Linked DNA regions of Danio rerio. The protein of the gene in region 2 interacts with the protein of the main gene of each other region in a pairwise test. Links are inferred from orthologs where the notes say so. Each region holds a gene or a part of one and is shown on either strand. Other genes may lie near its edges. The genes, in order: klc1a and mapk8ip3.

Region 1 (17,332 bases), on a different chromosome or scaffold from region 2:
ATACTATATATTTTTAGCAAGTGCCTATACATTTGTCTAAGTCAGGGGTTCCCAAACTTTTCAGGCCAGGCCCCCAAAATGACAATGCCAGTGACTCGCGACCCCCACATTCCTATAAGGTGATTATAAATATAGAAATATAAGAAAACAAAAGCATATTAAGAACACAAAAAAGTGCAACAGTCTAACAACCACAGGCTATAATTTATATGATCATTTATTATTTGGTTTAATTTAATATTAATCTCAAGTAATGAGACTGGTGGGTACAATGTTTTTAGCTCAAGTTTATTCTTGGTTTAATTTTGGGGACTGCCACTCAGAGATCACCCTCAATGTTCAGTTGTGGCCAGTATTTATTTTTAATGTATTTAATTGCCATAAAGGTGTCAGAAAGTTTAACCTGGTACAATAAAATCTAGCTTAAACACACAATCCTTCGAAAAAAAAATTAAAAGGCTTTTTATTTGCATGTTGTTGCTTTTTTATATAACTAGTATTATATAACTATTATATAACTATAGTACTATTTTTTATTCATTTATTTAGGTTTTAATGCCATATCAGCAGCATTGGCTATTTTCATGGCAAAAATATACTACTAAATGTACAATATATAATCATATAATCATATCAATTTCTTAACAAACATACATTGTAAAGAAAAAAAACAACAACAAAACAATCCACATAGCAACAACACGGAAGAAGAGTCATATATAATCTTATAGTTTTATTAAAGATAAATACTCTAAAATTGTTCCAGAAGGTACCTTTTCAAACATTTTACTTAATATATCTACCGAATAAAAACGTTAATCTACTATTTTTTAGGGCTGTCAAAATTAGCATATTAATTAATTTAATCAGCGTGATTAATTTGAATATTTAACACATTAAAAAATAAAGCAAATGACACAGTTGCAGTTTTTTTTTTTTTTCGGTTGTAGCCGACGTGTGTTCAGGGATGGCGCGTGCATTGAGGCGACCTAGGTGGCTGGCTTGGGCAGCAGAATAGTGAGCGAACCCACCAGTCCTCACTTTCATCCGCTACACCCACCCCCTCCTTCACCATCCTTACTTTCATCCGCAAAAAGATCACTTTCTGGTTGAGGGCGGCTTGATTGCCGTTTGCCTAGACCGCCAGTTCAGCTTGCTCTGACCCTGCGTGTGTTTAATGCCTAGTTCAGACTGCGTGATTTTAGCCCTGATTTTGGCTCCCGGCCGTGAAAACATCATTATAGTAAGACAAAAATTAATTTTTTTGGTGAATTATACCTTATAAATACAGTATGTGACTCATTCATCATCATTTGTCAATGTCACTGAGCAATGTATGTGAAACAATGAAAAGACTCGTGCAGCCGCCTTTTCTTCTCTCCTGAACTTAAAAATATGATTGGCAGAATTGTAGAAATGCTGGATTAAGATCGTCTAGGGGGGGTCGAATCGAGATCGCTATCTTTTAACGATTAATTGTGCAGCTCTAGCTCCAACTCTAATCAAACACACCTGAAGCAGCAAATTAAGCTCTTACTAGATACAGTGGGGATTGAAAATTTGTATTAATGTGCATAAAGAAGCCAAGGAAAGATGGAAAAATCTCCAGAAGGCATCAAATTACAGATTAGACATTCTTTTAATATGTCAAAAAAGTATGTCAACAACAGCACGAATAATAATAATATAAAGCTCACTGTCCTGAAAGCTTTTTTGAGTGCATTTATTTAAATGTTTAGTATATTTTAAGATCACATAATCAAATTTTTTTAAATTTGCAATACATTTTTAAAACATTTTACTAGGGGTCTAAGACTTTTAGGGCTCTATTTTGCAAAATGCAAAGCGCAGAGCGCAAACGCATTAAGGGCATGTCGGAATTCACTTTTGCTAAAATAAGGATGGAAAAATCCACTTTGCGCCGTGGTAGATGATCTAAAAGGGTTGAGCTTATTTTCTTAATAAGTTATAGGTGTGTTTTGAGAATAAACCAATCAGAGTCTCATCTAGCAAGAAAACAGTTAAACAGAGCATCTGCAGTGCGAGAATGAGAGATAAGGCCTCGCATTATCTACTTTCACTTTCGCTCTCGTGGATAGGGTAACCTTGTACGCACAGACATCCATTAGCCTATACATAGTTAATTTTGTTTGCTAAGCGCAAAGATTTGTTTCAAAACTATTTATAAATTCAGTTCTAATTTCCAGCAAACGAATAAATGAACAATAATAATGAAGTGTGCTCAAAAAACTGAGTTATATCCAAATACATATGCTGTGCCCCATATGGTCTGAAACCTGCCAGGTGGGCAAATCTAAGCTTGTTTTTAATAAAACAGATATAAATATGGATATAATAAATAATACTGCTAATATTAATAACATTATACCAAAGAAAATTATCACGAATAAACTGAAAAAGCCGCCTAGATGAAAAAGGCATGAAAGTATGGTTTTTAAATTTTTATAGGCGAGAAAATGTTTTATATTATTTTAATCCTTCATATTTATATCCTATATATATCCTAATTATATCCTATATATATATCCTTAATATTTGTATTCTTTTTCATATGTAAAGATATTTGCGTAGCGTATTGCTCTACATCTTGTGTGTATTAAGCAGTGAGTAAGCGAGGAGCACACAACTAACGCGCTCTGCGCTGGACTTTAGACCGGCTTTGTTCTGGTCTATTGAAAAATCTATAATAGTTTTTTTTAAAATAGCAATGCACCAGCAATGCGCCTTAGAACGCCTTCCTTTTTAGACCAGAATGCCTTTGGGCGCACATATGAGCGCAAATGCATTTGCTATTTAAACAGAGTGGCACAAAACGTCAAAACAACTCTTGCACCAAGCTGAAACTAGCAAACAATAATTCCGTCGCGCCTTGTGCCACATTGCGCCTGGTGTATGATGGCCCTTAGAGTCTAAATTGTTACTAACTAAATCATGGTGTTTCAATAGTACTTAATAATACTCAATAATGATACTTAAGTGTTTATACTAGAAGTACATCAACATCTTGAATTTAACTAATGTCTCTTTTATCAACTGTTCAGAACTGAGTGCTTCTAAAGTACTTACTGCCAGGTCCAGGCTCATCCTGCTCATCTGGGAAAAGATCATCCAGTGTCTCCCTGCTGGAATCAGAGTCCTTATCATCCTGAACAGAAAGTGTTAGAAAGAGAGAAGCACAAGGTAAGACTAAAAAAAACAGAAAATATGGTAAATGTCATAGGGAAAATAAGGTGAGGGCTCACTGATGGGCTAAGATCTTGATCATATTTCTTGAGCTGGTTCATGAACTCCAAGTGTTTCTTCTCCTCCTCCAACTGAGCCACACTTTGCTCGCTCTTCTGCAGCCGCTGCTGGGTTCCTGCCAGCTCGTCCCGCAGCCACTGGTTCTCCTGACACAGCCTCCGTACCTGTGCAACAGCAGCACTCAGATTCACAGCATTTTCACACTACAGCTTTTACACAAAATTGCTGACCCATGTTTTCAGCAGCCCTGGCTTGGAAAGTTCTTTACCTTGAAAAGGAAAATACTGAATAAATCCTTAAAACCAGCCAGCTCAGAGGTGATTACCCATATAATGACGTGTGATTTAACGCCAAAAAAGAACTTTAATTGTAATCCTTAAATAAAGAATTAAGTTTGAAGTCAAATGCACAGAAAAAAGCGTATTGTATCTTACTACACAACAATAGTGTGTTTGATGAACACCTGAATGATCAAATGTTTTCTTGAGTATTTAATATTTCAAGTGTATATTTTTTTTATATCTTGTACCTGGGCCCAATTTTGATAAGAAAAAAAATACATAAAATATTACACTACTTAATACACTACTGTACCCTGTAAATAAAGTTTGTAATATCAACAAAACAGATTGTAAAAAAAGTTCACAAAAAACATTAATTATTTATTTTTAGTTATTGAATTGTAATTGTAAATCACCAACATTTTTACTGCAAAATATCAGTAAGGGCGATTGTTCTGTTTTACAAAACGTTTGTCAACTACATTAATCGAAAGTTTATTATTCAGTCCAGTTCTTGTCACGTGACTAGCGTTGTGCTTGCAGCATTCTTTTTCAAATAGGTGTACCTGACAGTGGCGCCCCCAGAAAATTTTCTTAGGGGTGGCCAGAAGAGGCCACACCAAATCTTGGGGTGGCACACAAAAAATAATGAATTCAGTGTAATGTTATAATTTTTGTTTCTGGTAAATGAAATAATGTGGTTTTTACTCATTTATTTAATTCCTCTTGAAATATTGCAATTTACTCCTTGAAATAATTCAGCAACTGCATGTGCAAACCAAACCAAATAAAAATCAATATTCAGTTTAAAAACATTTTTCATATATATTAACATATATAATAATAATATAATCATATAATAATGCTAATAACATTTCAGTTATTTTATTCAGTTAAATTTTCAGTTATTTTTCCACATATCTTTATTGTACAGCATACAGTATATGCCATGTCTAAAACTAATGAAAATTAATGAATGAATAAATAAACAAACAAATTAACAAACTGAACAAAAGCCATTACTTTATATACACATGCTCACTATACAGACCCTTACAATATTATTTATACATATTCCTTTTTGAGCCACAATATTATTAATACAGCTTCTTCTTTTGATGTACCTAAAGGTAAATAGTAAATTGCCATTGCTGTTTAATGAAGGTCTGTGCATGTTGTCAACGACGATCGGGGAGGCAGAGAGGCAGTAAATCAGCTACATCAATGGCACCAATTAATGCACAATAATTTATTTATTGAAAAATTGTGAATTTATGCAAGTACATTTAAATTAAGAAAAAGTGTGTGCGTTGTGCTGCTAGCACTCTGCATGCACATTGCTCTCCTCTACCGGAAATAACGAACTTGCACGCTCAAAAGACATAATATGTGAACAGCCTAAGCCACAGTTAACCCAGTGTGTGTGGGTATAACTTTAAACTAGTACACAGTTGGGATGACTTTGTTTAGTTGTAGCAGTTTTGTTCCATGAAGAAACACAACGTTAACCCCCTGGGGTCGAAGACCGCGTATATGCGTTCTGACAACCTAAATTACACTTTCAGTTTTGATCGTACAGATGAGATCAAGACATCAATCGAATCTGTTAGGTGTCTAGTTTTCAATGTGTACACTCACAATGACAACAAACGGGTGCTTTTGCAAAACAAGGATAATAAACAGTGTAGGCAATCAGTCTTTTCTCTCTCCGTGAACTGTTTTTAGAAACGCGCCAGTAAAATGCTGAAAACAAATCACACAGACACGAGACACATATCTTTCGAAAGCTTGAAGTGTCTACTTTTAATTGCAGTGAGTGCATGTTAAAAACAAATATTGTTTGATAAAGTAATCAGTATGAAACCAATGCTATGTCTAGTTTCTCAGTCTGAGTTCATTAGAGTTAATGCTACCACGCCGGTGAGTCTTTGATATTACAAATAGCCTGCATGAGACACACGCAAGTGTGGACTGTCAGGAAAAACAAATGAACTGAAACTCAGCAAATACTTAACAAAGAAATATCAGAGATTTATCTAAAGAAAGCTTGATATGTCTACTTTTGCAATAACCAACTCAAGTTGAAAACCAATAATCTCTTTTCAAGTAATTAACTGATTATATTTATGTATATGTATGTACATGTATATGTATGCATACACACACACACACACACACACACACATATATATATGTGTGTGTGTGTGTGTGTGTGTGTGTGTGTGTGTGTGTGTGTGTGTGTGTGTGTGTGTATTATTATATGTACAATACCATAGGCTAGTGGTTATATTACCACAGCAACTATTGAATTAATAAAACAAATTATGTCAAGTACTTTACTAGACTATGGTTTGAAACAACTTGTTGACTATACATTACTAATAATGCTTTTCTTGCGAGTATGGTAAACTTATTTGTGGTTACTAGTGTTAAACTATAGTTTCTTTGTTATTTGCATTCTGTTCTCTCATCAAGTATGCATATGCTATGCTACTGTGAAAAATAAATACTGCCAGTTGTTTACAAAACAGCTTATATTCAGTTTATAATTTCTATGTGGTAACCAAGATTATTAGGTAAATTAGTACTAGTGTCAGTGAACAACACAGAAATGTTAAAAATGTAGTAATGTAATCAGCTAGCTTATTTTTAAAGTAGATTTGCTATGTGTAAGTTTATATAGTTTACAGAGTTTTATACAGTGTACTGACTCTCACAAGTGTATCTAGAGTTATTTTGTGTGATAGTAAAATATATTTTAAATAAACTGCAAACAAAAAATATATATATAAACTTATTTTTTTGTCAGATTTTCTCTTGAAATTCCTAGTGACATACCTGTCTGAAGGCTCATTATGCAGCTCATTATGCAGGTCTTTGTCTTCTCAGGTGTGACTCACTGCATTAGTATTGATAGCTCACGCCTTCTTGTATAGACCATTTTCACTCAGAAAGTGACTTAGAAATTTTAATTCATTATATTGTTTTCTGTGAGCAAGTAAACAAGATGTTTCTCACATCATTTTGAAGCAAAAACACTAGGCTACAAGATCCAGTTCTCAAAAGTGTTGTGAACAAATGTTCTTCATGTGTTTCACAGCCTTGTTTCAGTGACTTCGAAATTTTAGTTTTTCACTAACTACGAAAGAATCGCATAAACGTTTCTTTCTCAAAAGCACAAACATATACAAACATGCAGCTTGGGTATTATTGTAGCCCAGCTTGTGCTGTTTACAGTGTTATCACACTTTAGTCATTAATATGTTTTTAAGATACTGAAAACAACACAAATGTCAGTGTATGTCAAAACTTCTCCAGAGTCCCAAACACCCTCAGACCCCTGAGGGTTAAGAAGCCTTTGCGATTAAATAACGTGACAAATCAAAGCTAGGTTAATAGTGAAATCAGTTAATTGCTGCATCCCTGATATATATCCAATATTTCAGAATATGCTTTCAAAAAAAACATATTGGTCAATATGACTACATGAAACATGCTTAAAAAACCACGTTAAAGAAAAGTTGTGCTAATGGAAAGTAAAATTAAAAATGTCAAATGAAATTTCCTGATAACACTTGCAAAAAACATGAAATTCCCTGACATTCAATATCTGGAATAGGGCTTTTCTAATTCTATGGCCTTTGGGAACCCTGGAAATTTATGTAGGGTATTGGCTCTTAACTGATTTTATCTCATCAATTTAGAGTTTTGACTTTCTAATCAAAAACTGATGCATGTACACCACTGAACCGGAGAGCAGTTTAATTTTACATGCGATGCAGTGTCTTTGTGTGTGTGTATGCACCTGTGCTCGAAGCTTCTGTTTCTCTGCCTCCACTGCACTCAGATGCCCTGACAGAGCCATCATCACCTGCAATGAGCAATAACAGAAAGAAAGAGGGAGAGCAGCTATGTTACCATGTTGTCAAGCAAATTTCATCACATTTTGTAATAACTTCCACATCGTACCTGTGCTTCACTGAGGCCCAGCTCCAGCATCTCCATTGAGCGTTGGATCATTGCAGTCTTCTCCTCAACAGCACGCCCCTCCTGGCTCTGTTTGAGGCAGCGCAAGGTCCCCATCAGCCCCTCCAAAATGGCCTGATGTTCAGCACGGAGCGCCTCCAGCCCCTGCATGACCTCGCGCGTCCGACATAGCAGCTCATCCTGGGATAGCTTTTCACCGAGGTCCCCCTGGCCCTCCGTCTCCTTCACACACAGCACGCTCGACATATCCTCACGCATCCTACATAGAGACACATAACACAGATGTGAGGGAACGTTTCCAGTAAAGATTAGTTTGTTTTGTATAAATGAGTGCCTTTTCCTTCTTGTTCTTGTCCATTTAAACCATTGACAAATTACTCAAATCACTGTAACTGTGAGTGCAAAAAGTGTTATTAATTAGTAATTTTTTTTATTGATTAACTGCACTAATTTATATATTAGGCCTGTCAAATAATAAAAAAATATATAATTAATCATACTTTTTTGTAATTAATCATGATTAATCACTAAAAGTGATTAATCATGATTAATCACGAAACACCGTATTTATTGCAGAAATAAAAGCACAGGCATTAAATGGCATTTGAAATACTGATTAAGAGTCTACCATGTAAGCAGCAATTTTTGATTACCTTAAAGGAACACGCTAGTCCCGAAATTAGGTTTTTCTTTTCATTTGCCATGAGGTAACAAATTCCATTAAAACGTCCTGAATGAGAATATGCTGAATGAGAGTGAACTACTGAACTGCATTTAAAGTCTAAAGATTAAAAATGAAACACCCGAAATTGCATGAAACTGGAGGAAACGCAGAATAGCCTGGTGATGCGAGGTCAGGGGGATGCTCACTATTCTGCTGTCCAAGTCGGCCACATAGGTCATCTCTATGCATGCACGCACCGTCCCTGAACACACGTCGGCCACAACAGGAAATGAAAAAAAAAAAACTGCAACTGTAGTGTTGTATATTTATTTATTTATTTATAAGAATTAAATAATCGTTCATTAATCGTAATCGAATTAAAATCTTCAATTAATCAAGATTTTGATTTTAGGCCAAATCGCCAAGCCGTAAGTGCAGTACACCTTAATCAAACTATTACCATTTTGTAGGATTTTCGCTGTTTTGCAACATGGTATTCCACCACACACTGGTGTTTGACACTATTATCTGCACCTACCAAGTCAGTACCACAGACACCTGCATCACGAATTGCAAAGTTTTTTTTTTTTTTTCAAATTCCATTAAAACAACACTTTTTTTTGTATTTACAGCAGTTAATACTCGCATCCAATATTGCTTGTCCCATAGTCACAGGGGCATGCATGAAATGTTCCTGAATGAACGTGAAAGTGCCAAACTGCAGTTAAAGTAAAAAATTTTTTAAATGAAACACCCAAAATTACATGAAATGTAGATAGCGTGGTGACACAATGTCGTTAATCAAACTATGTACTATAACATGTAAAACAGAATAATAAAAGGAACTTTCAAAAAGCAACTGATGTTAACACCTTAATCATATTATTCTCTCATTCATATTAAGGCTAATAATTCGGTTACTGATGTCCATGTAAATGTAGTCATTGTGATATCGATGTTCAAACGATAAACCATATTGTTCAGGTCTAAAAGACAGATATATAAGGCTGTCACCTGTCATTTGGAAAATTCAAGCACTCAGTGTATTGAGAAGGATGCAGTTTTGTTTGTGCTTTACTGGTTGATAAATTTCTCAGACAGACTAGATTTTAAACTTTTTGATCAGACCCTGGGATCATTATTTAATAGTTAGAGAGCTGTCTAAAAGTAATGAAAGTATTTAAAACATACATTTTATGACATACATACAGTATACTAATGTTACTTTAGTCAAACTATATTTTTTGTTTATAAACAATGAAAAAAATATTCATTTAAAAATTATGCCTTGTCATGCAGAAATTGCTTTGGCACACAATCTCTCAAAGTGCATTATGTCTATATTCAACGCTCTCTCACAGCAATTCGTAACTTTTTGGTTTAGTGAAACAATACCATCTAGTACAATTTGCTCATTCCCCAATGATGGTTGGGTTAAGGGGTGGGGCCACCCCTCCTTTTTAAAATAATACACTTTTATATAAATGAATTTGTACAAACTATCCACTACATTGACAAAACGTAAAAGAGTTATGTTTCCTCCTGAGATCACGCTGGTATTTTCAATCTGTTGAGTCTACATGGGCTGTACACTTGCTATGCGGTGCGTTGTGGGATTGAGTGCACTTCAAAAATTCAACTGGTTTTGGACACCCCTACAAATGGCTGCTTTTTTTCAATAGTGAACTATTTAAGGGTATTTGGGAAGATTTTGCATCTGAACACAGGTCGTGAAATTGAAGACTCCTGCTACAGATGTGCAAAATGTGCAGTGTTGGAAAGTGGAGCTTCATATCCTTTTTTAGTTTCCACTAGTTCTTTGATGTTGGTTTAATGCAGGAGTATCCAACCTCACACACTAATTAAACACACATAAACCAACCAAGTTATTCAGGTTCATTAAAAACGTCCAGACAAGTCAAAGCTGAACTTAGGACAATGTCCCTCCAGCAAAAGGACAGAACATCCCAAGTTTGTGTTTGAGAAACCAGGTGAAATCATAAGGTGACATCTCTAAGAAAGGCAACAAGTTTCTTCCCAGCAACCCACAATGATGTTTTTTTAGCTGGCATTTTATACTATATTTCAGGGTTTATTCAAATCACTAATTTTAGTATGAAAAACAAAAGGATGCTTGACTTGGCAAACACAATGAACACTACATTTTAAAATAACACTAAAAGACAAAAAGCAAGTTCACTCAGAGAAGCAATTAGAATGCAAACCCTCTTCAAGAATCTGAGAGGCTTCTGACTCTTCCCAGCCTGACACACGGACACAAAGCAGCTGTCTTTGCTGTTGCCAAGACACAACTCACCTGGTAAGGCAGTTCACGGTAGCCAAGACACTTAAGCACACTTGAATTTCCAAAAAACAGCAAGAGGAATCTGAGATTGTTGCCCTTTCAAATGATGTACATCCAGCCTACAGTGAAAATAATGGTAAAGGCCTTTCATTTGAAATAAACACGTCTCCACAGATTTGTTCTCTCTCATGAAAACAATCGCACATCTACTCCCTGCAATTATGATATAAAGAGAAGCAGATCTATGTGCTGCTCCTAAGCTTCGGGTTTGTGCTCTATTCCTGTGGGAGGGGAAATAGGAAGTGAGGCAGCAGATTCATGTGACCCATAAGTAGTTCATCATCTGCCATGTGACAAGCACTGGGCAGGAAACACCAATGTATGATGGGAATCAAAGTACTGAGATTCTGCTGCACATGCTGATAGGTCACAGCTAATTTGCTCCAGCGCCATTAACTACATAGCAGAGGAGAGAGGTTGCTGTCACCTCAAAAGGCAATGAGCTTTCTCCTAAGATTTTCAAATGTGACATGCTGCATCTGAAATTGCCTACTACTTGAGCAGGTACTGCATTTGAATTAGAATTTACTACACGATTGTTAGAAAAGTATGTTTTATAGAGTATGAATGGAACTCGGACGTTCTACATCTGCCATTTGTCATTATCATGTGACTTACCCACATCAGTTTCACTCCCATTAATTAATTCTCATGTGGCATCATGGGATACTGTAGCATCCATCGGATGCACACTTCAGATTCTCGCTGGTTGTGTAGGTCACCTAGTAACCTCTCACATACTGTTTGTAGAATACTATGAATTTGGACGTTACTCAGCACTTTTTCAAAGATCCTCCTCCACCCCAGCTCCACTGGTCTTTAGATCTGCTAACATATAACATCTGGGTTACAAATACAGACTGCTTGTCTGTGAATAGGTCATTCTAAATCGCTCCATGTGAAAAACGCATAAGATGGCATAATGTACCTAAACATCAACCAGAGAAACTTTACTTGTAATTAACCCTAACTACTATAAAAAGAACAAGCCCTTATTCTATACATAAAGTGAATATTAAGTGTTTTCAACCAATTAAAGTTCAAGGAAAAAGCTTAACAACAGGGGAAACTAAAATTCTATCAAAATTCACTTGTAATTAATACTAATTAACATAAAAAAGCTCATTCTGATTCCATAAAGTGAACAATGTCACGTTAAGCATTTTATTCCGATAAAGTCTATGATTTAAATTAACAACAAACGGTGAGAAATACATTTATATAGGAATATACTCATGATAAACACATTCTGCTATCAAAAGAACAGGCTCCTGCTTGCATAAAGTGAACAAATTCCCTTTAAACATTTTCCCCATAGAAATCCATTATAAGACAACAGCCTAACATGGGTTAATATACCTTAACACCAACCAGGGAAAGGAAAACCCACATTTCTGTCAAAGTTTTCTTGTGATTAACAATAACCATTATCAAAAGAACGGGCCCTGATTGCATAGATAAAGTGAACAATATCACGTTAAGCATTTTCTATTCCATTAAAGTCCACAATAAGGAAAGGCTTAACGTAACAAACAACACAAAGAAAAACACACTTAAAAAAAATGCCGTTCATAAAATCTAATTTTACTTATGATAGATTAAACTTTTTATGCTGTCAAAAAAACGTGCTCGGATGCATGCAGTTGGCATCCCCAAAACAATAGAGAAGAATGTTTAAAATAATGTTCTGGATAAAATGTAAAGTCGGAAAGATGTATTTGCAGACCCAACAAAATAGAAAAAAATAAATAAATGTCAAGAAACACTTTGGAATTGTGACTCCCACAACCAAGGGTTCCCAGTGCTATCCTTTTGTGATTGCATTGACAAGGTTAAAATGATGCCATAAACATGTGCATACAATTTCCAGTTTCCTAAAATAAAAATGCAAAAGGAAAATACCTAAATGAATGAGATCATATAAGGACATAAAAATTTAAAAACTTTACATGCCTGAATGCATCCTGCTGAATTACAAATGATAACAATCAATGATTTATTACAATGAGAAGAGGATGGGAAAGAAAGTGCTAGAGATTATGCTTATGACTGTATAACATTTTCTTGGTGTGATTAATTGCTGAAGTTTATATCGCAGCATACATTATCATCACAATATTGAAAAAAGTCGCAAAAAATAGGTATATAACAGGTATAATAATTATGAAATAATACTTGTGCATTGCTTTACTGTAAAAGAGAGAAAAATATCAGAATTATTAGCATCCTTTTGAATGTTTTTTTCTTTTTTTAAATATGTCCCAAATGATGTTTAACAGAGCAAGGAAATTTTCCCAATATGTCTGATAATATTATTTCTTCTGGAGAAACTCTTATTTGTTTTATTTCAGCTAGAATAAAAGCAGTTTTTAATTTTAAGATCAAAATGATTAGCCCCTTTAAGCTATATATTTTTTTGATAATCTACAGAAAAAAAAACATAATTAGGCAATTTATTGTATAATGATCCTAACCTGCCTAGTTAACATAATTAACCTAGTTAAGCCTTTAAATGTCACTTTACGTTAGAGGTCTGCATTCGCGCGGCTGTACCACAGGACCCGATCAGATTTCTTGCGGCATGAGAATAAATTTTCGAATAAATCGAGGGAGCGGTCGGTAACTGGTTTAATTTGAACGGGAACAGGCGGTCTAACAATATCGCTCCCGACTCCCGAGCAAGCACGCGTATGCATGTGTGTGAACGAGAGAGTGTGATGCTGTGTTTAGCTTGATTGTTGCTGTCTATGTGTGTGTGTGTGTATATGAGTATGAATGAGAGAGAGAGAGCTTGGTAATGTCTATGTGCGTGATGGTGTTTGGGTCACTTGCTTGGTGCTGTGTGTCTGTGTTAATACAGACATCTTGTTTAAGACTGTCCGGACCATATCGCTGGGAGGTTTTCGGTGGTGGGTTCGAACTAAAAACTGGCAGAAGCGAGATTCAAAATTTAGTCGAATCAAATCACTTTTATTGTCGCATCATCAGCAGCACGTGTGCTGTGATGAGTTAAAAGCTTAGGTGCTGGCTCCAGACAGTGCAAAATACAATGGCACTGCAAAATACACTTGTCACCAAGCGCAATGCAGTACAGATCTCTACTTTAAGCTGTATAGAAGAGTCTTGAAAAATATCTAGTGAAATATTAATTACTGTCATCATGGCAAAGATGCATAAGACTGCATATATATATTTATACAAAAGTTCTGTCCAGTTCAAGCAGAGACACTGTACAGTTTGACAAATATTACTGCTGAATTATATTAGTTATTAACACAATTTAATAAAAAAATTACGACTTATCAGAGTACAACTACATTTTAACATTATTTTTCTACGTTATTAGGCAATAACTAACATTATCACACATTTCAGTGAGTATTTCATCATGTAGATCACATTAGCACGTGAAAATGTTCATGTTTGAACTATTAAGCTAAATTAGAATAATTAAGCTAAATTAGAATAATTAATTATCTAAGCATTTGGGGCTGTTATGAATTTTACTGCAAATACAAAACACAAAATACTCTAAACATCTAAATATATGTATTTTTTAATGTGCCAAGGATGGGCGGTGTGGTGGCACAACAGGTAGCGATGTTGCCTCATAGCAAGAGGGTCACTGGTTTGAGCTGTTGCTGGGTCAGTTGGCGTTTCTGTGTGGAGTTTACATGTTCTCCCTGTGTTCCAGTGGGTTTCCTCCAGGTGGTCTGTTTTGCCCCACATGCGCTATTGGTGAATTTGGTAAGCTAAACTGTCCATAGTGTGTGTGTGTGAATTAGAGTGTATGGTTGTTTCCCTGTGATGGGTTACAGCTGGAAGGGCATCCACTGCGTAAAACATATGCTGGAAAAGTTGGCGGTTCATTCCGCTGTGGCGACCCGAGATTTATAGAGAGACTAAGCTGAAAAGAAAATAAATGAATGAAGAGCCCAGGATATCAAAATTATGCATGTTCATTATCACTATCTATTGAATTATTGAATATTGACAAATGTCTAGCTACAGGAATAAATAGAGGATGTTGAGGTGTAAAAGCAGACAGTTGACAAGATTGAGTATGTTGGGTGAAAGACTCATTACTCAGAGCTGTTAAGCCGATAGAACTATAGCATGACTCACAACCCTGTCGATGGTGAAATACTCTCTTGTGACCTCAAGAGGAAGAGGGAGGTGGTCCAACCTTATGCCTCGAACTAACACAACATTCTCACTGCGAAGTCACAGGAAGCGATATTGCTGATATTACAGGAAGGCCACACACCATGCCAAAATAAAACAAGCAGCAGAGATTACAAGAACAGTTCACCCAAATTGACAAATCTGTAATTTAGTCATGAAAAAAACATTTTTTGACTCTTGTTAAATTGTGAAAGATTTATGTTCATTTTAAAAATATCCTTATATTTAAGCAAAAATACAATAAATAAGATCTGAGCTTGTACAACTCTATAATGAAAGCATTACAATAGAGCTGCATGATTCTGGCTAAAATGAGAATTTTTTTTTGCTTAAAATAAAGATCACGATTTTCTCACAATGCTGTAGATGTAAAATTAAGGTTATTGAGTGGGCTATTATTATTGTTATTTTTCAAACATATGGTAAAAACTATATTATTATTATATGTAGGTCTATTGTCTATTCTCATCCACAACACTTTGTGATAGCTAAGAAAGAAAAAAGCATATCAAATGCTTGTCGTAGCCTAATCCTAACTCTATAATGCCAGATGATTATTTAAATGTTGTGCATGCTTTCAGTTTCATTTTCACTGTTAAGTGCGATTCATACTTCCCGTGAGGCCCTCAAATAATCACTCTGTTCCACAAACTGAACATTATTTACAACTTTATTACCTGTTATTCACAGCCTATGCAGGTTCTGTTCACTAAAGTAGACTTCATTCGCAGGCGCGTGCCCGCCCTCTATGTGGTAACAACTCAGTCAGCAGTTCACGTAACGTGTGATATCGCGGCCGGGAATACATCATTACATGAAGACAGAAATGACATTTTTGGGTGAATTATTCCTTATAAATACAGTATGTGACTCTTTCAACACCATTTCAACACCATTGGTCTCCACGTTGCTGAACAACGTATGTAAAACAATGTGAAGACTTGTGCGGCCCTCTTTTCTTCTCTCCTGAACTTGAAAATATGATTGGCAGAATCGTAGAAATGCTGGATTAAGATCGTCTAGGACAGGTATTTTCAAACAGGGGTCCACGGACCGCAAGAGGGTCACTGGTGGCCCGCTATGGGGTCAGAGAAAAACTTGGCAATAAGAAAAAAATGATTTACGAGGTATTTTTTTCCAATCCTAAAATTGTTATTGTATGGAAGTTTTTTCCTATCAAAATTAAAATGAAAATTCAAATGCTTAAAAGATCAAATGATAAATCAAATGCTCAAACTATAAATCAAATGCTCAAACCGACATTGCAAATGATAAATCAAATCCTCAAACGGACTCTGCAAATGATAAATCAAATGCTCAAACGGACTTTGCAAATGGTGAATCAAATCCTCAAACCGACTCCTCAAATGATAAATCAAATCCTCAAACTGACATCGCAAATGGTGAATCAAATCCTTAAACTGACATCGCAAATGGTGAATCAAATCCTTAAACTGACATCGCAAATGGTGAATCAAATGCTCAAACTGACATCGCAAATGGTGAATCAAATGCTCAAACTATAAATCAAATCCTTAAACCGACATTGCAAATGGTGAATCAAATGCTCAAACAACTCTGCAAATGGTGAATCAAATCCTTAAACTGACATCGCAAATGGTGAATCAAATGCTAAGGATTTGATTTATAGTTTGAACATTTGATTCACCATTTGCGATGTCAGTTTAAGGATTTGATTCACCATTTGCGATGTCAGTTTAAGGATTTGATTCACCATTTGCGACGTCAGTTTGAGGATTTGATTTATCATTTGAGGAGTCGGTTTGAGGATTTGATTCACCATTTGCAAAGTCCGTTTGAGCATTTGATTTATCATTTGCAGAGTCAGTTTGAGGATTTGATTTATCATTTGCAATGTCGGTTTGAGCATTTGATTTATAGTTTGACCATTTGATTTATCATTTGATCTTTTAAGCATTTTAATTTTCATTTTAATTTTGATAGGAAAAAACTTCCATATTATTGACTATAAATTATTAATTTATATACAGTTTTAAGATTTATATAAGTGGATACTTAATTGTAATGTGTTTATCTCAAAGCGCTCTTTAAGGTTTTCCATACAGTTGAATGGAGCAATAAGCGGCTGTATGTGCAAGACAGATGATGGAAAGACTTTTAAAGAATCCAGCTCCCACAAGCAGTTTATGCAAATCTGACTAGGCGAGCATTAAGGCAAAACCCAGAAAATATGACAAATCTTACATTGCGTTTGGTTTTACCTGCATGTTAAAGCAGGGACCCCAGTGTGTTATTTTTCAAGAGATTCTTTCCAACGAATGCATGAAACCATCCAAGCTCAAGCGCCATCTACAGCAGAAACTTCCCAAAGAGACAGAAAAATCAACAGACTATTTCAAGAATCAGGAGTTGTGTTTGGCCTGGAAGGCTAGCATTTTTCGGGAGCTAGTCCTTGAGAGGTGTTTAACAGCGTCATATTTGGCATCACTCCACATCGCACATGCTGAGAAGCATTGTTATTACCAGCTACCAAAGACATCATCAAATATTTATTTGGAGAGGAAGCAGCAGGAAAGGTAGATTGTGTGCCTTCGTCAGACAACA
Region 2 (17,332 bases):
CCACTCCATTGATATTTTGGCGGTGTGCTTTGGGTCATTGTCCTGCTGGAAGATGAACCCTCGATCCAGTCTGAGGTCAAGAGCACTCTGAAGCAGGTTTACATTCAGGATGTCTCTGTACATTGATGCATTCATCTTTCGCTGGAGCTCAGACAGAGACCATCGGGTTATTGATCAGCTCTCTGACTAAGGCCCTTCTCCCCCGATCACTCAGCTTAAGCTGGATTTATACTTTCGCCTGGTGCCGCATCGCACACCTCCGCTGAGTGCGTGTGTACCTTGCGAAACGGACGAGGTTTTTATACTTGCCGAATTCACTGTTGTAATATTCTTTAAAATGACAACAGAAAGTGACTGTAAAGTCTGACGGATACACGGAGGAGTAGGAAGTTTCCGGAAATGTGTCATATCATAAATAATCTTTTAAAACTAATTATTTTTATGACTGAAGGATTTTTATAATCATTCAAGATTTTTTGTTAGTCAAACTTTGATGATTCAGTTGCTTTTGTTCATATCTCAGACAGTTTTACCTATTTAAACTTTATTAAAATATTAATGACTACATATATAATTGAGTTGCTCAACAGATATATTTTTCATTATGGCAAGAATAAAAGCACACTTACTGTCATTTACTTATGACAAAAGGCAATAATGGTCCAACATTCCTGACTATGATCACCAATCATGCGTAGAAAAACAGGCATCAGTATCAACAAATAGGTTTCAATATTACTTTCCAGTTATAAAAGAAATAATTTGTTCCTTAATGACAGTTTTGTAACTATAAATAATTTTAAATTCAAAATTAAACATACATCATTGTAAAACCTGTAAATGATGGAAAAACATATTCTGTAATTGTGTACCTGGGTCTCCACTTCTGCCATGGGTCACTGGAAACAAAGCATCTAATTCTTGCAATGTTTTGGAGATGACAGTACGCTGATTTAATAACTGCTTTGACATGACTGCTGAAACTCAGATCTGACTACAGAATAACACCAGGATTGGATCCATTATCGATGGATTGATAGATAGATCCATAACAAGATGGATGTTTTTGGATGTACTGTTTATAGGTTATTTTGGACTGTGTTGTGTGACGTGAATGTGTTTATTTCTGTCTGAAGATTTTGCATGAATTGTTCTGTTCTTCCTGTGTGCAGGAATGTGATTCACGGCAGTGACTCTGTTGAAAGTGCTGCTCGGGAAATCTCCCTGTGGTTCGAGGATCATGAGCTGTTCTGCTATGAAGAGTGCGGTCAGCACTGGATCTACGCTTGAAATCAATCATCAAACACTCTTGCGTTCATCATTAAACACACAGACAGCTTTATCTGATAGCTGCTTATCAAAGTCAGCTCTGCACGAGCTATTGAGTGACCAAAATATAAAAACGCTGGCTTATGTTGACAAGGTAAATGATCTGAAATCCAATTATTGGTCAAGCTTGAATGTGCGGCTTACTTACTGCTTTTGTAAACGTGTATTTAGGCTTAGTTTGCATTTTCAGAAAGTTGGTCAATCCTGCACTAAAGTGTTTACATCCATCTGAAAGACACTGTTTACATTTTTAAATCCAACTTTTGATATAGACATGTTTGTCATCTTGATGCACTATGAAAAAAAAAAACGACATTTCCAAATCAAGACTTCTTAATCAGGACTCATGACAGCAATAACGAATGAAGGGCCAGCATGCTCTGATAACTGACTTGAACATCACATAATGCTTTGTTTCAGTGGTTGGAACTCACCTGACCAAAGGGCCGCCTTACTTTAATAAATTATTACTCTCACTTTGACTTTGAATCCATTATTTGTGCAAACTAAAACTACCTTTTAAAAGTTTGAGATTGGTAAGACTTTAGCCGTTTTATGAAATGTTTGGTTTATAACCACGTAAAGGGGAAGTAAATGTCTTTGCATTTAATTTTGTACAAAATATAGAAATGTGTTGCATTGTTTCCCTCATTGGTTAAATCAGAAATAGGTAACGCAATTGAACAGGGTCATAATTTACTAAAAAGAGGGAATAAATGAAGTGATTGGTGTAAATTGTATTTTATAATCACAATAAAAGGGGCCGCTCACACAAAAATGAAAATGTAAGTTTGAAACCTTAAGTGGTTCGAAATCATGATTTTTTTTTCATGTTTTATTCAATTCATGTTTATTTCTATAGCGCTTTTACAATGTCGATTGTGTCAAAAAGTTAAAGTTTTACTGAGATGATTTGTCTGTGATTGGATGCGATCAGGGCTTGACATTAACTTTTTTTGATCACCAGCCATTGTGGCTAGTAGTTTTCCAATTTTGCTAGCCCCTCGCCACTAGCCACAAGTTTGTTGTAGCGAAAATATATTTTATATGCATAAATTTGACTTATTTGATTTAAATGATTTGTTATGTCCACTTGCATTTCATTCAACTTTTGTGTGTGTGTGTTGTGTATGAGCTTTACCAGGATTCACCTAATTGTTCTCTGGCCACAACAAAGTTAGTTCATTGCCACATTTTTTAAATGTGTGAAAACAAAAACAAAATATATCAAAAACAAAAATGTTCCTAAAAAAACAATTGACATTTTAAAAAAATAGTGTCATGTATCTAAAACTATACACAGTATCTGTCCAAGCTAAAAGTTCCAGATAAGGTCCCAGCTAAAGGTCAGAAAACTATATATAAATGGAGAGTTATCTCCTACTAAAGCAATGTTTTTGTAAAGGATGACATTTAAAGCACATTAACCCCTTCAGACCCTGCGTCCATTACAATGGACATCACATGACATCCCAATTTTTTTTTTAAATTTGGAACATAATTCAGGTGTGAAGGGGTTAATAAACATAACTAAGCAAAAGAAAGCAGGTGAAAAACATTCCATGTGCGATAATGAAAAGATCACTAGCACATGATTACGTTACGACCATTATTGATCTATTCCAAGAACGGTTAAAGCGAAAGCGGCAAGCGCTGCTGCTTACAAAAAAATCCTGGTATTTTTAAAGCAGCAGGAATTTTTTCCTGTCTTTTTCAAAGTGAACTGATCACTCCAGTTGCGTTTCCGGGCATGGTTGCTGCTTCGCGCAACAAAATGAGAGCGCACATGCTTTTTAAAAACGCTTGCATCATATCAGCTGTGTGTGCGACACTAAAGCCCTCGTCAGCGAGTGAGGGTGTTCGCCGTGTGATCAAACTCTCATTTGGTATTCATCTGCTTGCTTTTGCTCACGCAGTTATTTTTATCAGTCACGCTGCTTCTTGTTTCTAAGATCACATTTGCACGGATATTGTCAAACGACCATGACCTAAAATTCTAATTGAAGAGCCACCACTGGCAAATTAAAAATGATCTTCAACCAGCTAAAGTGGCTAGTAGGAGTGGTTGTCTAACCGGTCACATCTGAAATCTAGCCACATGTGGCGGGTGTTAATGCCAAGCCCTGATTGGATGGGTGTTGGCCAGATTAAGTAGTTATACATGAGAAAGGAAAATGAAGACCTGTCCAAAAAAAAAAAGATTTAAGACCTACAGATTTTTTTTAAAGGCTTAACATTTGTTTTTTGAGATTTTAGACATTTTAAGATCTTGCGCACACCCTGAGCAATTGACGAAAGTGAAGAAAAAAAAAAAAAAAAAAACCTTGAGAGCACCAGGCTCAGTTGGGCCATTTCTCCTCTGGCCAAAAATCTTGTGCAGAGCTGCAGTCTAGGCGCTGGATGTCCATCGTGGAGAAACTGCAGGTGTGAGCAGGTCACCGGCGTGTGTTCAGGCTGGCCCATGAGATCGATCTGAAATGAGTCTAATGTTCTCCACTCCGCCATGACCACCACAGCATCTGCTCAGGATACGGCCTGGTCCAGGATAATGGAGACCTCTAAAACCTGTAACAATTGACTTCCAAAGTATTTTCCTACTATAGATGTCAATAGTAACAGGTTTCCAGCTTTCTTCAAAATATCTTTTGTGGACAACAGAAAAAAGTGACAATTAATACTGTTTTCTGCATGTCATGTAGAGCAGTGTTTCTCAACCACGTTCCTGGAGGACCTCCAGCATAGCAGGTTTTAGAGGTCTCCTTTGTCACACCAGTTACAGGTCTTTCAGTCTCTGCTAATGAGCTGATGATCTGAAACAGGTGTGTTTGGTTAAGAAGACATGGAAAATGTGCAGAGCCAGTGGTCCTTCAGGAACGTGGTTGAGAAACGCTGATCTAGAGTATTTTAAGTGACAAAACGATGACAGCGTTTTAATAAAAAATGCCGCTTTAGACGGACGTATTCAGCACATAAACGTTTATTTCTTAATACTTAATACCACACAGAGAACACAGAGTGATGATTTACATACAAGGCGATTGGGCGGGATGTCCATCTCTGTCAGACCGACAGCCAATCAAAGGCTTCGATTTACCTCATGCTCACTATCCCAGAGGGAAGGCAGCAGATCCAGTCAGCACACATCTCACTGAGGCGGAACAATAAATAAAGGACTGCAACTGGGGTTAAAGAGATGTTGCTTCAAAGCACAGGTGTCAAACTCGATTCCTGGAGGGCCGCAGCTCTGCACAGTTTAGTTCCAACCCTAATTAAACACACCTGATCAAACTAATTAAATCCTTTGGGCTTGTTTGAAACCTACAGGGAAGTGCGTTGAAGCAGGGTTGCAACTAAACTATGGCAGACTACCCCAGCTTTAAAAGAAATGAAGGGATAGTTCACCCCAAAAAACAACATTCTAGCATTTACTCACATTTCTTCCAATCCTGTACACGTTTTTTTGATATAAAGAAAGATATTTGGAAGAATGTCAGCAACCAAACAAAGCTTGCCACCCATTTACTGCCATGGTATTTATTGTAATCAATCTGATTGGTTGGTGACATTCTTCCAGATATCTTCCTTTGTTTAACAGAAGTAAATGAGTTTGGAAGAAGTTGATGATGAATAAACGATGGCAGATCTTTCATTTTAAGATGAACTATCTCTTTAGTTTACAATATTTTAGATGACACTGAAACATGTTTGGGTTGTGCAAGACTTCCAGCCGATCCCGATCGTTCATTTAATTATCCTCATCTATTGCCTCACATTTCTCTCTGCAGTGCAAGATTCAATCCAGTATTTACATATTGAGCTCTCTTGGTTTTGCCCTCTTGTTTGCATGTACACCAGTGTTTCCAGGATGATCTCCTGATTCAGTGAGCTGTGTGCTGAGGGACTGTACAGATAAAGGTCAGGGTTATTTGGCAAAAAAGAAAAACAACTGGGTAGTTCTTTCAGGAACTTAGTTTTGGTTCTGGTTTAAGCTGTTTATATGCATTTCCTTTGAACTCAGTAGTAAGATGCAGGACGTTTTGATCTTTGTGTGTGTTTTTGGAGGGAAACGTTATGAGGTGGATTAAAGGTAGTTATAATTGAGGGAAATACAGGCTAATGGGGTCAATATAAGAGTTTAAAGAGGGGTAGTTACAAGGCCGTGGTTGTTACGGAGCGTGGGGCGAAGTTACAGAAAGGACTCATACTTTGTCTTTGGGACAAGGGGAATTTATAGGGGGCGGGGGGTACAGGCAGGAGGTGTTTGTTTAAATCACTCCGGAACATAAGAAACCTGCCAGACGATGATATGACTCCTCTCTGCTTTAGACAAGGCTGGCTTCATCTGAGGAGCTTCATCGTCGTCTGCTTCCTCCGTCTCGTCATCCTCACCGTCACCTGAGAAACATGTCAGTTAGGATTAGTTGTTGTTTGTATGCTCAGGCATTCTGTTTGAATGCGAAAACATAAAATTCTCCAAACTTGCTTACGATTCAATTTCATATTAGGAGTCACGAATAAAAGTAAAAAACAACTCTATCTTAGTTTCATTTCTAAACGTTCTAATCCCACGAAATCTGCAGAAAGTCACGTCTGGTCCAAGACCCTCCCACGGAGAATTGTCAGTCTACATCGATCGATGATTGGCTCCTGTACTAAAAGGCGGGGCTTCATTCACCATATTGATCGTTACACTTTCTCCCATTCAAAACTATACGAGTGACACTTCTTGGGTATTCTAGAGCCTTTGTTAGTGTTAAAACAGTCTAATTGACACTGGAATAAATGAGTTTTTGAGGCTATTCCACTAGCATCAACAAGCTTTTCCCTTTATTTAAAGTGTAGAGTCTGACATCCCATTCACACGGGGCTTCAGTGTCAACGCTTGACAAGGGGGAAGGTCTGAAGTTGGGGCAGACGCGATCGTCATAGCAGCATCGGCCAATGAAATTAGTCAGCAATTGGCTACTGTCTGAGGTGGTGTATTTGCATACAGCGATCTGATTGGCTGATGCTTCTGTCGGCGCTTGAAAAGTTGAGCAAGTCCCAACTTCTGCAGCGAGTAACGCCTCTGAAGCGGCAACCGACGGATCCACAATGCAGTTTGGCAACGCCTGACGTCATCCATTCAAAGTGAATGGGAAGCGTTGAAGCTGGCGCCCTGTGTGAATGGGGCGTCAGTGCTGGTTTTCAGTCCTATAAGTTTCATAGCATTTCAGACAATTTTAAACATATTTAATTTCAAATTTACAGAAAGATTACATTATAATCCATAACTGATAACACTCTCAAATACAGACTGGTAAAAAAAAGAATACACGATTTTCTTAACACCACAATCTATGCAAAACATTAAGCCTTTAGTGGAGTTTTTCCCCTCAGATCCAATTTGCATGAGTGTCCTATGTGAGAGACGAATCTATGCGCACACCTAAATACTTACATGATTGCACCTGAATAATTTTCTGATTATGTACAAACACTGGCATGTGATTGACATTCATGCATGCTAATTTAGCTTGTGTTGTTTTTGCTTCTCACCGATGCGGAAGTCAATGTAACCCTCGCCTCCGCTGAGCACCAGCACATTCTGAAGACTCTGTGCTTCTGTTTCTGCCGGGGCCGAGGACCCCTGAGACTCTGATGGGCTGTCCAATACGCTGCCGTTCAGTGTGGCCAACACATTGCCTGAAAAACACACAACATCAGATCGTTTATGACTGACCAAATTATTTCCAGAAGAACTATATCATGCATATCATGGCGGGGGGGGGATTTTACTTTCCGTTAGCAAAGGCAAGCAAAAACATGATGAAAATGTGCTAAATCAATCGCTGTAAATATATGCTAGCAGAGTGTTAAATTATGCCAGAAAATTGCTACAATATTTCTGATAGTGTAAAATAATACAAGAAAAACACTACGACAACATGCTGTCAGAAGGCTAATTCAATGTAGCACTGTACAAGAAATCAACATGCTAAAAACGTGCTAAATTGTGCTTGAAAAATGCTAGCGGTATGTTAAATAATGCTAGAAATGTAATCTTATCAAAGTGCTAAAACATTAACAGTATTAAATCATGTTTGGTACATGTTTACAATACACTACTACAGCATGTTAGTAATATTAATCGTGCTAAGTCATTCTAGAAACGTAATGTTATTAAAGTGCTAAACAATAACAGTTTTAAATAATGTTAATGTTTACAATATACTGCTACAGCATGCTAGCAGTGTTAAATGTGTGCCAATTGTGCTATAGAAACATGTTAGCACTTGTTAAATCATGCTAGAAACTTAATGTTATCAAAGTGCTAAACATTAACAGTGCTCAATCATGTTAGTTACATATAATGTAATGTAAGGTGTATTTATATAGCACATTTATTGTGTATAAGCACTTTACAATCATAAGGGGGGGGGGGGGGGGGGGGGGGGGCGGTCTCTCCACACCACCACCAGTGTGCAGCCTCTACTTGGATGATGCGACGGCAGCCACAGGACAACAACGCCAGTGCGCTCACCACACACCAGCTATTGGAGGAGTGGAGAGACAGTGATAGAGCTGATTCAGTGGATAGGGATGATTGGGAGGGCTGATTAAGGGCTCCTGCTCTTTACGAAAAAAAGGATTTTAAATGACCACAGAGAGTCAGGACCTCGGTTTAACATCTCATCCGAAAGATGGCGCCCACTGACAGTATAATGTCCCCTTCACATGTTAACAATATACTAGTACAGCATGCTAGAAGTGTTAAACGTGTGTTAAGTCATGCTAGAAACACGCTAGCAGTGTGCTAAATCATGCTAGAAACATGTTATCGAATTGTTAAAACTAACAAACTTTAAACATTTTACTTACATGTTAACAATATACTACTAAAGCATGCTAGCAGTGTTAAATGTGTGCTGGGTCATGCTAGTAACATGTTAGCAGTGTGCTAAGTCATGCTAGAAACATGTTAAGAGCAGATTAACATCATTAGTTTTGTAGTTATACTAGAAATGTACTAAAACAGGCTTTAAACGTGCTAAGTCATGCTAGAACCATGTTAGCAGTAGCTAATTCTTGTTACCAATATACTTCTACAACTACAGCATGCTAGCATTGTTAAATGTGTGCTAAATCATGCTAGAAACATGTTAGCAGTTGCTAAATCATTCTATGCTAGAATTCTATTCTATGCTAGAATGATGCTATCAAAGTGGTTAAACACTGTTAAATAATGTTAGTTACATGTTACCAATATACTACTACAGCATGCTAGCAGTGCTAAATGTGTCATGCTAGAAACACATCAACATGCTAGAAACATGAAGGTAACATGCTAAAATGCTAACAATTCATGCTAGAAACATAACGTCAACAGATTAAGTTATACTAAATAGTTTTTTTCTGTATTACTATTATTACTATTACTGCAATTTACTTAGATTAAATAAGGACATAACTGACACTAACCTGGCACTGACACAAAGAACTTGACTGCATCTCGATGTCCATGGAAACAGAGTTGCGCCTGTGCCATGGAGCAGTATGGGATGAAGCTGCTCTTCTCTGAGGTGCTATCATCTGCATATACATGGATCACGCCTCCTGATGATGTAGGCGACACCTTATTGGCTGCAACAGAGCAGAATCCACCAATCAGAAAGCAGAATGTCTAGAAACTCACTGGGATTGTGAGCATGCAAATTAATACATGAATCTGGTGCAGAAGAAAACAAAGAGCTCACAGCATGCACACTAAAGAAACCAAAGGAACATGACCACAGCATTTGAAATAAATGAAATGAAGATAAACTGATGTTATATGAGATAAGCACAGACGGAAAATTCATTCATAAAGCATAAAACCAACAACAATAATAGTTCATGGAACTATCGTATACATTAAAAGAAGACCTAGGTGTTCATCGAAATCTTCGTTTCTCTTTGTTTTTGGAAAAAAAAAGAGTTTAACGGTTACTGAATTTCGTTTAGTGAAAGAGATTTATCAGACAAATATGTGTGGATTTACGTTTACAGATTTATATTTTCATTCTTGTTGAAAAACTGGTACAAGTTTGAGTAAATAGTAAATATCTGTTTTATTTTACGAAGATCTATGAAAATGAGTCAAAATGTTGTCATTTGTTACAGAAAAAAAATCTTTTTAGGAAAAAATAAGATTTTACACAAAATATTAATGTTTTTTAACACTTGTAAAGTTAAAAGTTGTATAGATATGCCTTAAAAAACTGGTGCCTGTTAATTTTTTAACACATAAATGATATTTTTATTTTAAATGTGGAAAAAAGCCACAAGTAGTCCACAAAATAAAACTAAATTTATATTTTACTTAAGAGCTTGGAAATACAGCAATATCGATCTATAAAGTGTTTCTATATTATTTATTGTGTGTGTGTATTTCTCTTCAAACAAAATGGATAGAAATACATTTTAGTGAATGATGAGACAAATTAAAGACTATGGTTTCATTAAACACTACATATGTAAAGATTATATGTAAATATATTATTGTCTTAAACAATGAAAATCTGGGAATAACAAGGCTTAGTAGAATAATACAAGATCAGTATATGAAAATAAATTTCACTTGCTATGTATCTAGGACTTTTATTTTGAAAACGCGAGCCCCACAATGTTTACTGTGCGTTACCGAGCAACCAAAGCAAGAGACACATTTCATACTGGCCTCAGTACGCAAAATGCAAGATTTACACATTAAACATTTATTTATCTCCACTCTGAAGAGGCATAAGGTTTGTTCAGTTACATATTTTGTTAATATATCGTGTTTATTGAGAAATTAGATGCAGCTGTTTTAACAAACACGTGAAGACTGCTGAATCGTGTCAAATCCCTCAGCTCAACTGTCATCTGTTCATGCACAGGTTGATACTAAATCCTGGCTGTTTTCTTTGACTGTAAATTCAAAATACAACACCATAAATCTCCATCACTCTCTGTTGTGAAGTATAATCATTAATTAGCCTTTATCCACTCTGATTAGGTTAATATTTGTCTATGGTCAGCGCACAATCCTGTGTGTAAGAGCTGCACGTCAGAGTGGAGCTCATTAATATTCACGACACGAACCATATATGGTCAATCATGGACCTTATGAAACCTGGGGTATTTTATGGAGACTAATAAACTTATAAATTCGTTTCTGGAAATTTTTTGTATTTACCGAAGCCATAAAGCTAATATGTAGATAACAGAGAACAATTTACCTTATTAAACCAATGCAGTATATGCACTTTAAAGTTTAATACATAAACTTATTTCTCTGATTTCCCATTTCAAAAAATCTAAACAATTGGATACCAAATTAACAAAATGTAAAGAGAAATGCAGTTATTTAAAACAATCTGCTTTTTTTTTTAAACATTAATATTTCCACAAAATATTCATGTTTAAAAAAGTGAAAACATTGATATTGTGTTTTTTTATATAATGAAAATTAGTTAGATTTTTTTTTTTTACATTTTTTTATAACAAAACGTTGCCCAAAGGTATGAACACAATTAATACTAATTAAATAAGCCCTACATCACATACATAACAGCAACCCCTCAACATTAAAAAGGTTCAAATGCTAAAGAACAAAGATGCAGTTTCAGAAGCTTTTTAAAAACAGATAGAGCTGGAGCGTATCTAATGTGGGGTGGGAGCTTTGGGGGCGATAACAGCAAAAGCCAGATTCCCATTCCGCTTACACCGGGACCTTGGTACAGAAAACATAAACTGATCAGAAGACCTTAGTGATCTACCAGGATTACATAAATGTACAGTAGGAGATCTGATAAGTAGGGTGGTGCCATATCATTTAAGGATTTATAAACAAAAATTTATTAATTAAAATCAATCCGTGACCTAACAGGCAGCCAGCCCAGAGAGGAAAGAACTGGGGATATGTCCTCATACTTCCCTGTCAGAAGTCTCGCAGCCGCATTTTAGAATAATTGCAATCTAATCAGGGCATTTTGACTAATACCCACAAACGAAGAATTGCAATAGTCAAGTCTCCCTAAAATAAAAGCATGGGTCAGTTTCTCAAGGTCATTAAAAGAGAAAGTCGTAAATAGAAAAAAAAATGGATTTAACAACCGAGTTTACTTGTTTAGTAAATTTCAGATCACTATCAATCTGAAGTTAATTTCTCGAAATGACAACATTTTCATTTAATATATGAAAAAAATCTCATCAGCACTTTACAGAATAAGACAAACATTCATTTACTATATGGCGATATCATCTATAACTTTTATCCTCACTGCAAATTAAAATGTAAAAAAATGACCAATAAAGTGAATGAAAAAAATGAAAAATAAAGAAAATAATGAAGTTGGCAATGCACAGAAAACATACTTCATCCATAATAAAGCAAACTGAAAGACATTTGACCAATGCAATAAACGAAAAAGAACCAGAAGTGTGAGCGATGCCGCAAGAGTGACGGTGGTCAGGGTTCACACTCACCCCTCAATCCCAGCAGCTGGCCTCGGTGAAGCACTACGGCTACAGGAGGAGGAAGAGGAACAAAGCAGGACGAGAGAGCAACACTCATCAGATACAACACAGAGAGAGAGAGAGGAACAATACAGAAAGAGGAGAGGAGGAGGAGAAGACAAGAGGAGCTTCATTGGCTAATTAATGTATTTAGGATGTTGACCCAGTGGTTAGTGATCTGGGATGATGACATTAAAGGTTGCAGGTTAATCCAATGAACTGGAGAGCTAACGAGATCCAAGCTGCTTTACTAGCTTAGCTGCACCTGGGGTTTGAATCATTTCGTGTTTGACCGCTCAGTCAGCTTCAGGATGATAGAGTCCATCACAAAACCAGAAGTAACCAGTTTAAATGAACCAATGACTGGAGATTGTTGCTGGTTGGAAATTAAAAGGGTTCGGGTGATCGGGGCAGGTGTTAATCTTTAATAGCGTCTGCATGCAAATACAGATGAGACTTACTTTCAGTCAGGGGGATTGAGATGATGACACCATTTCCTGTGCCCACCCACAATCGGTTTCCTCCAATCAGCAAGGCCGTTATCCTGACAAAGGAGAAGCCCAGCTTTCCTGTACCTGTAGATCACAGAGTCAAAGACAGCAGGTTGTCAAATATTTGTATTGCAACAAGCGGTCTATTATAACATTTGAAGCATGTTAATGAATAAAATTGTCATTAATTAAAAATATTAAAAGGTTTAAATGGAAAAAAATTATCTCTTATTACACTTAACATTGTTGTTATATTGTTATTATATGCTTAAGTAAATACAATTTTTTATTAAATATGGCGTCTTTTAAATGGAAGATTTTCTCAAAAAGAAATATATAAACACACACACAATGCAATGCCCAAATGTTCAGTTTTGACTAATTTCTAAACTCAACTTCAAACAAAAAGAAATCCCAATCAAAGACAGCAGAATGTAAAATATTTATATCACACAACTATTAGTCTATTATAGATGTAAATTTCAAATAAATTTGAAAATTTAAATATATACATATACATACAACAGTTCTGTCTGGTTCATTAATCGGATTGGCTGATAGCCATGTGATATTTGGCCAGTAACAGCACTGGACCAGCCTTCTCACCCTTTACCCTTGTGTATTACGCCTGTTTCACACCGCAAGCGTCAGCGCGTACGGAGAGCAGAAGCAGCACGCAGGCGTTTGCCTTTTATACCAGCTGCGTCTGCAGAGCGCAGCTCTTCGGCAGCTGCTGCAGATTTCAACCTATCTCTGTCTATTCTATCTAGTTACCCATGTCTCTCTATATACAAATACACTTTTTAAACTTTTCATCTGCACCAAGGCCCGCGGCAACTTCCTTCTATGCTGTTTCTTTAACCTTCAAATGTTTATTTTACTAATCATAGATCAAATAGTACTGTATGCTTCTCAAGCTTAATGAGAAGTGTCTACAGTGTCAGAAGACAATCGCCTGTGATATCATGTCATTTGTTTTTTAATTGTCAGGTTGCTGTAGGCCTATAGTTATAATAATATTTATACAATATAGTTATAATGATATTTATACATGATCAAACTAGTGTTACTTTCTCCGCTTCAGTGATGTCCAGCGGCAGAATAACAGCTCGTTAATTCATGCTCGTGCAGAGGATGAGACGGACAAAAGTAACAAATGCATGCCATTATTTTACTTATTTTCGTGTTGTCAGGTTCACAGTGCAAACAGCTCCCGGTAGAAATAACTCGAGTGAACATAAAACAAAGTCGAATAAAACTTTTTTCCTCTGCATCAGCTGCACAGCACACAGCGAGCTCACATAATCCAGCATGCGTGTCGAACTACACTACCCACAATACACTTCGCTATGGACTACAAATCCTGTAAATATTCTATTTCCCCTCTCCTACAACACTAGTGTGCAACTTAAGCAAAACTGATACTAAAATTGTTTTACATTTGGTTTTGTAGTTCGGGCCTAAATAAATGTTTGTTGCCGTTTTTAATCGTTTAAGTTCATTTGATTTACTATAAATAAATCATTTGACAATATTAACGCATTTATTGGGTAAAATTGCTACTTTTTACTGTCATTCATTGTGTTTTGATCATTATCAATGCACTGTCACTTTAATTGAGCGTGAGCAGTGTGGCAAAAATAGACCCAACGCCGAAACTATCGCTGCACTGCTGCTTCGGCGACGCTCACGCCTCGCTCTGACACGCTGCTGCTGCGTGCGGTATGAAAGCTCAAATCTGTTAACATGGACGCCGAGAACACACGCGCTGCTCACGCTCTGCTCACGCGCCGATGAAGCTTGCGGTGTGAAATAGGCGTTCGTCCACCCACATGCAGCAACAAGCATAGGACACTACAGTTTGACTAGCATTGCTGCTGTTGGACAACATAAATGTACTTTTGAGGCTTTTTTGTCGAAAATGTAGTTGTTTAGATTGCAACCATGCAGTTTTTTTCATTAGGATAGTGCCTATTTTAAATATTTATAATATCTGAGAGGCCATTAGCCTGCTATACTGAGTAGACCAAAGACAGTTGACGTTGCAGCTGGAAGGGCATCTGCTGCATAAAAAAACATGCTGGATAAGCTGGTCCCTGATAAATAAAGGGACTAAGCCGCAGGAAAATGAATGAAACAACATAAAACTGAACACTGTTGTGTTAATGTGAAGTGCGGAAAGAGAGCAGTGTTACCCAGCATCTTGCTGACATAAGGCTCGATGTCCACGTCCTGTAGATGCTGGTGTGTGTGAGCGTGATATAAGCGCAGTGTAGAGTCCAGACGGATTGAAACCCAGACTCCATCCCCAATCCACGCCAGCTGCCTGACCTGACTCTCCTTGCGTGGGTGAGCGTCAAAAGATTTCTGCATGAAGGAGAGAGAATGAAATAAAACACAGTTCAGAGACTATAGCTATCTTTCCATACCAACTAGATTTAATTTAGACCGCAAATTAAGTCACACTGTGCTTTTCGCCCCATATACTTCCCTTCATAGGCATGCAAATGCAGCACACTACCTAACAAAAGTGTTTTTGCCTATCCAAGTTTTAGGAACAACAAATAATAACTTGACTTCTAGTTGATCATTTGGTATCAGAAGTGGTTTATATGAAAGGCAACGGCCTCTAGATTACACTTACTTTACCCAAATAAAATATGATCATGCCTTGATTATTAATTATTTAATTAGGACACTAAGGTCTGACTTTGCTTAGACAAAAGTCTTGTCACTTAACAGAAATAATGTACAGTATAGAATATAAAGTCATGCTGCAGTGGAAAAAGAATGAATATTGTGCATGACTCCCATGAGCTTGGAGGACTGCATCCATACAACTCTGCAATGACTCAAGTAACTTAATAATAAAGTCATCTGGAATGGCAAAGAAAGCGTTCTTGCAGGACTCCCAGAGCTCATCAAGATCCTTTGGATTCATCTTCAATGCCTCCTCCATCTTACCCCAGACATGCTCAATAACGTTCATGTCTGGTGACTGGGCTGGCCAATCCTAGCACCTATATCATCTTAGCTTTAGGAACTTTGATGTGGAGGCTGAAGGATGTGAAGGAGTGCGATCCTGCTGAAGAATTTGCCCTTTTCTGTGGTTTGAAATGTAATGGGCAGCACAAATGTCTTACTACCTCCGGATGTTGATGTTGCCATCCACTCTGCAGATCTCTCACACGCCTCCATAGTCAATGTAAACCCAAACTTGACTGATTTCTGTGAGAATCTAGGGTCTATGCGGGTTCCAGTAGGTCTTCTGCATTATTTGTGATGATTGGGATGCAGCTCAACAGATGGAAAAAATCTAACTTTAGCCATTTTTACAAACAATCAACTAGAAGTTATTATTTGATGCTCTTACAACTGGGATCGACGACAAGACTTTTGTCAGGTATTGTATATAGAAAATGCAAACTCCGTTGACGAGTTTCACATATCACTGCTTTTCAAAGTTTCAAGTTTGGTGACCATTACAATCTGTGGGATTGTGTGAGACCAACAGAAGATCAAAACATGACCTCTCTGTACCGAAATGTACACAGTGCCATACGACAGAACTTTGCATGATCAAGCCTAAAGCCGCAGTTACTAGAGTTTATGTGCAAAATCGAAATACAAACATTATAAACATAAACATGTATGCAGCGTTCACATTCAGAAGACGAAACGCAATGAACGCGCTGCAACTTTTGAAGGTGTTAGACACTCTTTGGGAGCTTAAGTCAGTTCTGGAGGTAATAATACTGAACCACTGTAATGACAGACTTTGGCTGAGGGATTTTAGAATGATCAAAACTACATTTTAGATGATTTATAGTGTGGTTGGTATGCTAGATTGTCCGCATCACACATTTTTGTTATCACATGATCTGTTTAAACTAAATCACATGACTTTTTTTTGATGCACATACTGAAATGTATTCTGTAAATGTATTTCCATCATTGTTTAAGCTCATTTTTTCTTATCAGATTTCAGGTTTCTTATCAGATTTCCTGATTTCTTATCAGGTTTTATTTTCTGTGTATTTTCAAAATGTATGCACATCCTACTCTTTCCATTGTACATTTCTTGTGCAATATGCGCATAAAAACAGGTGGATGGAAACAGAGCTATTGATGTGGATTTAGGATGTGTTGTCTTTAACTCGCCTCAATCTGCATGCTCTTGGGCTGAATCACATGGATCTTGTTCTTGTTGCCGCACCAGACTTTATCATGGACCACAGCCATGCACCGGATGGAGTGATGAGGTCTTCCCAGATCCATTAGATGATAGTTGGAAAGATCCCACTGTCCATCTGCGGTTACAGTTCACAGTTGTTGTTGTTATAGAGAGCAGGAATAAATAATGCATGACAGATATATAAATTACCTTCAGATCTGTGGAAAATTGCTAGAGTCCCATCAGCTAAAGCAACCAAAACTCTCCCCTTCACATGTCTGAAGCACAAAGAGACACAGAAATTGATTATTTTTCACTATTTTTCATGTAAATGTTGATTGTTACTAGTTTTTTTTTAAATCCACACAAAATCAAAATTGACAAAGTATTCTGTTGCAAGCACACATCGTGAGTCTCAGGCCCTGTCCACACAAACACTGCTATTTTCAAAATAGTATTTGGTCGGTTTGGTCGTTCGTCCACATGTAAATGCAGTATCAGATGATTAAAATACAAGCTTTCTGAAAACTTCAGCAAGTAGCGATGGGTGACACAGACTTAAACTTAAAATTTCTGGTAATTATTGTGATAATATTATTGACGATAATTCATATCCACTGAGAGACAAAGTCCTGTATCTAAAGTATTCATTTTCATGTTACTTGATTTTTAAACACACATACACACCTTCAACCCTGTTCCTGAATGCCTGCTATTCTGCAGAGCTCAAGCATAACCAAACACACACTGAAGAAGCTAATTAAGCTTTTCAGGATCATCTAAAACACACAAGCAGATCTGCTGAAGCAGGTTACAAATG

The links.
Region 1: the proteins of mapk8ip3 (region 2) and klc1a interact in binary tests that used the Homo sapiens proteins (3 or more experiments, as listed by UniProt). The link is inferred for Danio rerio from reciprocal best matches to the Homo sapiens genes MAPK8IP3 and KLC1.

Annotation. Positions count from the first base shown.
Region 1 is NC_133188.1:17,808,526-17,825,857, reverse strand, and holds part of klc1a (kinesin light chain 1), read right to left. Parts: intron 10,806-17,332; exon of another isoform or gene 10,514-10,805; intron 7,792-10,513; 5' UTR 7,791-7,791; coding exon 7,515-7,790; intron 7,417-7,514; coding exon 7,351-7,416; intron 3,429-7,350; coding exon 3,264-3,428; intron 3,167-3,263; coding exon 3,088-3,166; intron 1-3,087. UniProt on the Homo sapiens protein: Kinesin is a microtubule-associated force-producing protein that may play a role in organelle transport. The light chain may function in coupling of cargo to the heavy chain or in the modulation of its ATPase activity.
Region 2 is NC_133178.1:14,647,185-14,664,516, reverse strand, and holds the end of mapk8ip3 (C-Jun-amino-terminal kinase-interacting protein 3), read right to left. Parts: intron 16,791-17,332; coding exon 16,723-16,790; intron 16,649-16,722; coding exon 16,500-16,648; intron 14,706-16,499; coding exon 14,534-14,705; intron 12,423-14,533; coding exon 12,309-12,422; intron 11,857-12,308; coding exon 11,818-11,856; intron 8,953-11,817; coding exon 8,791-8,952; intron 7,015-8,790; coding exon 6,868-7,014; intron 5,725-6,867; coding exon 5,600-5,724; 3' UTR 4,291-5,599; downstream 1-4,290. Other genes in the region: nme3 (nucleoside diphosphate kinase 3), read left to right, coding at 1,173-1,290.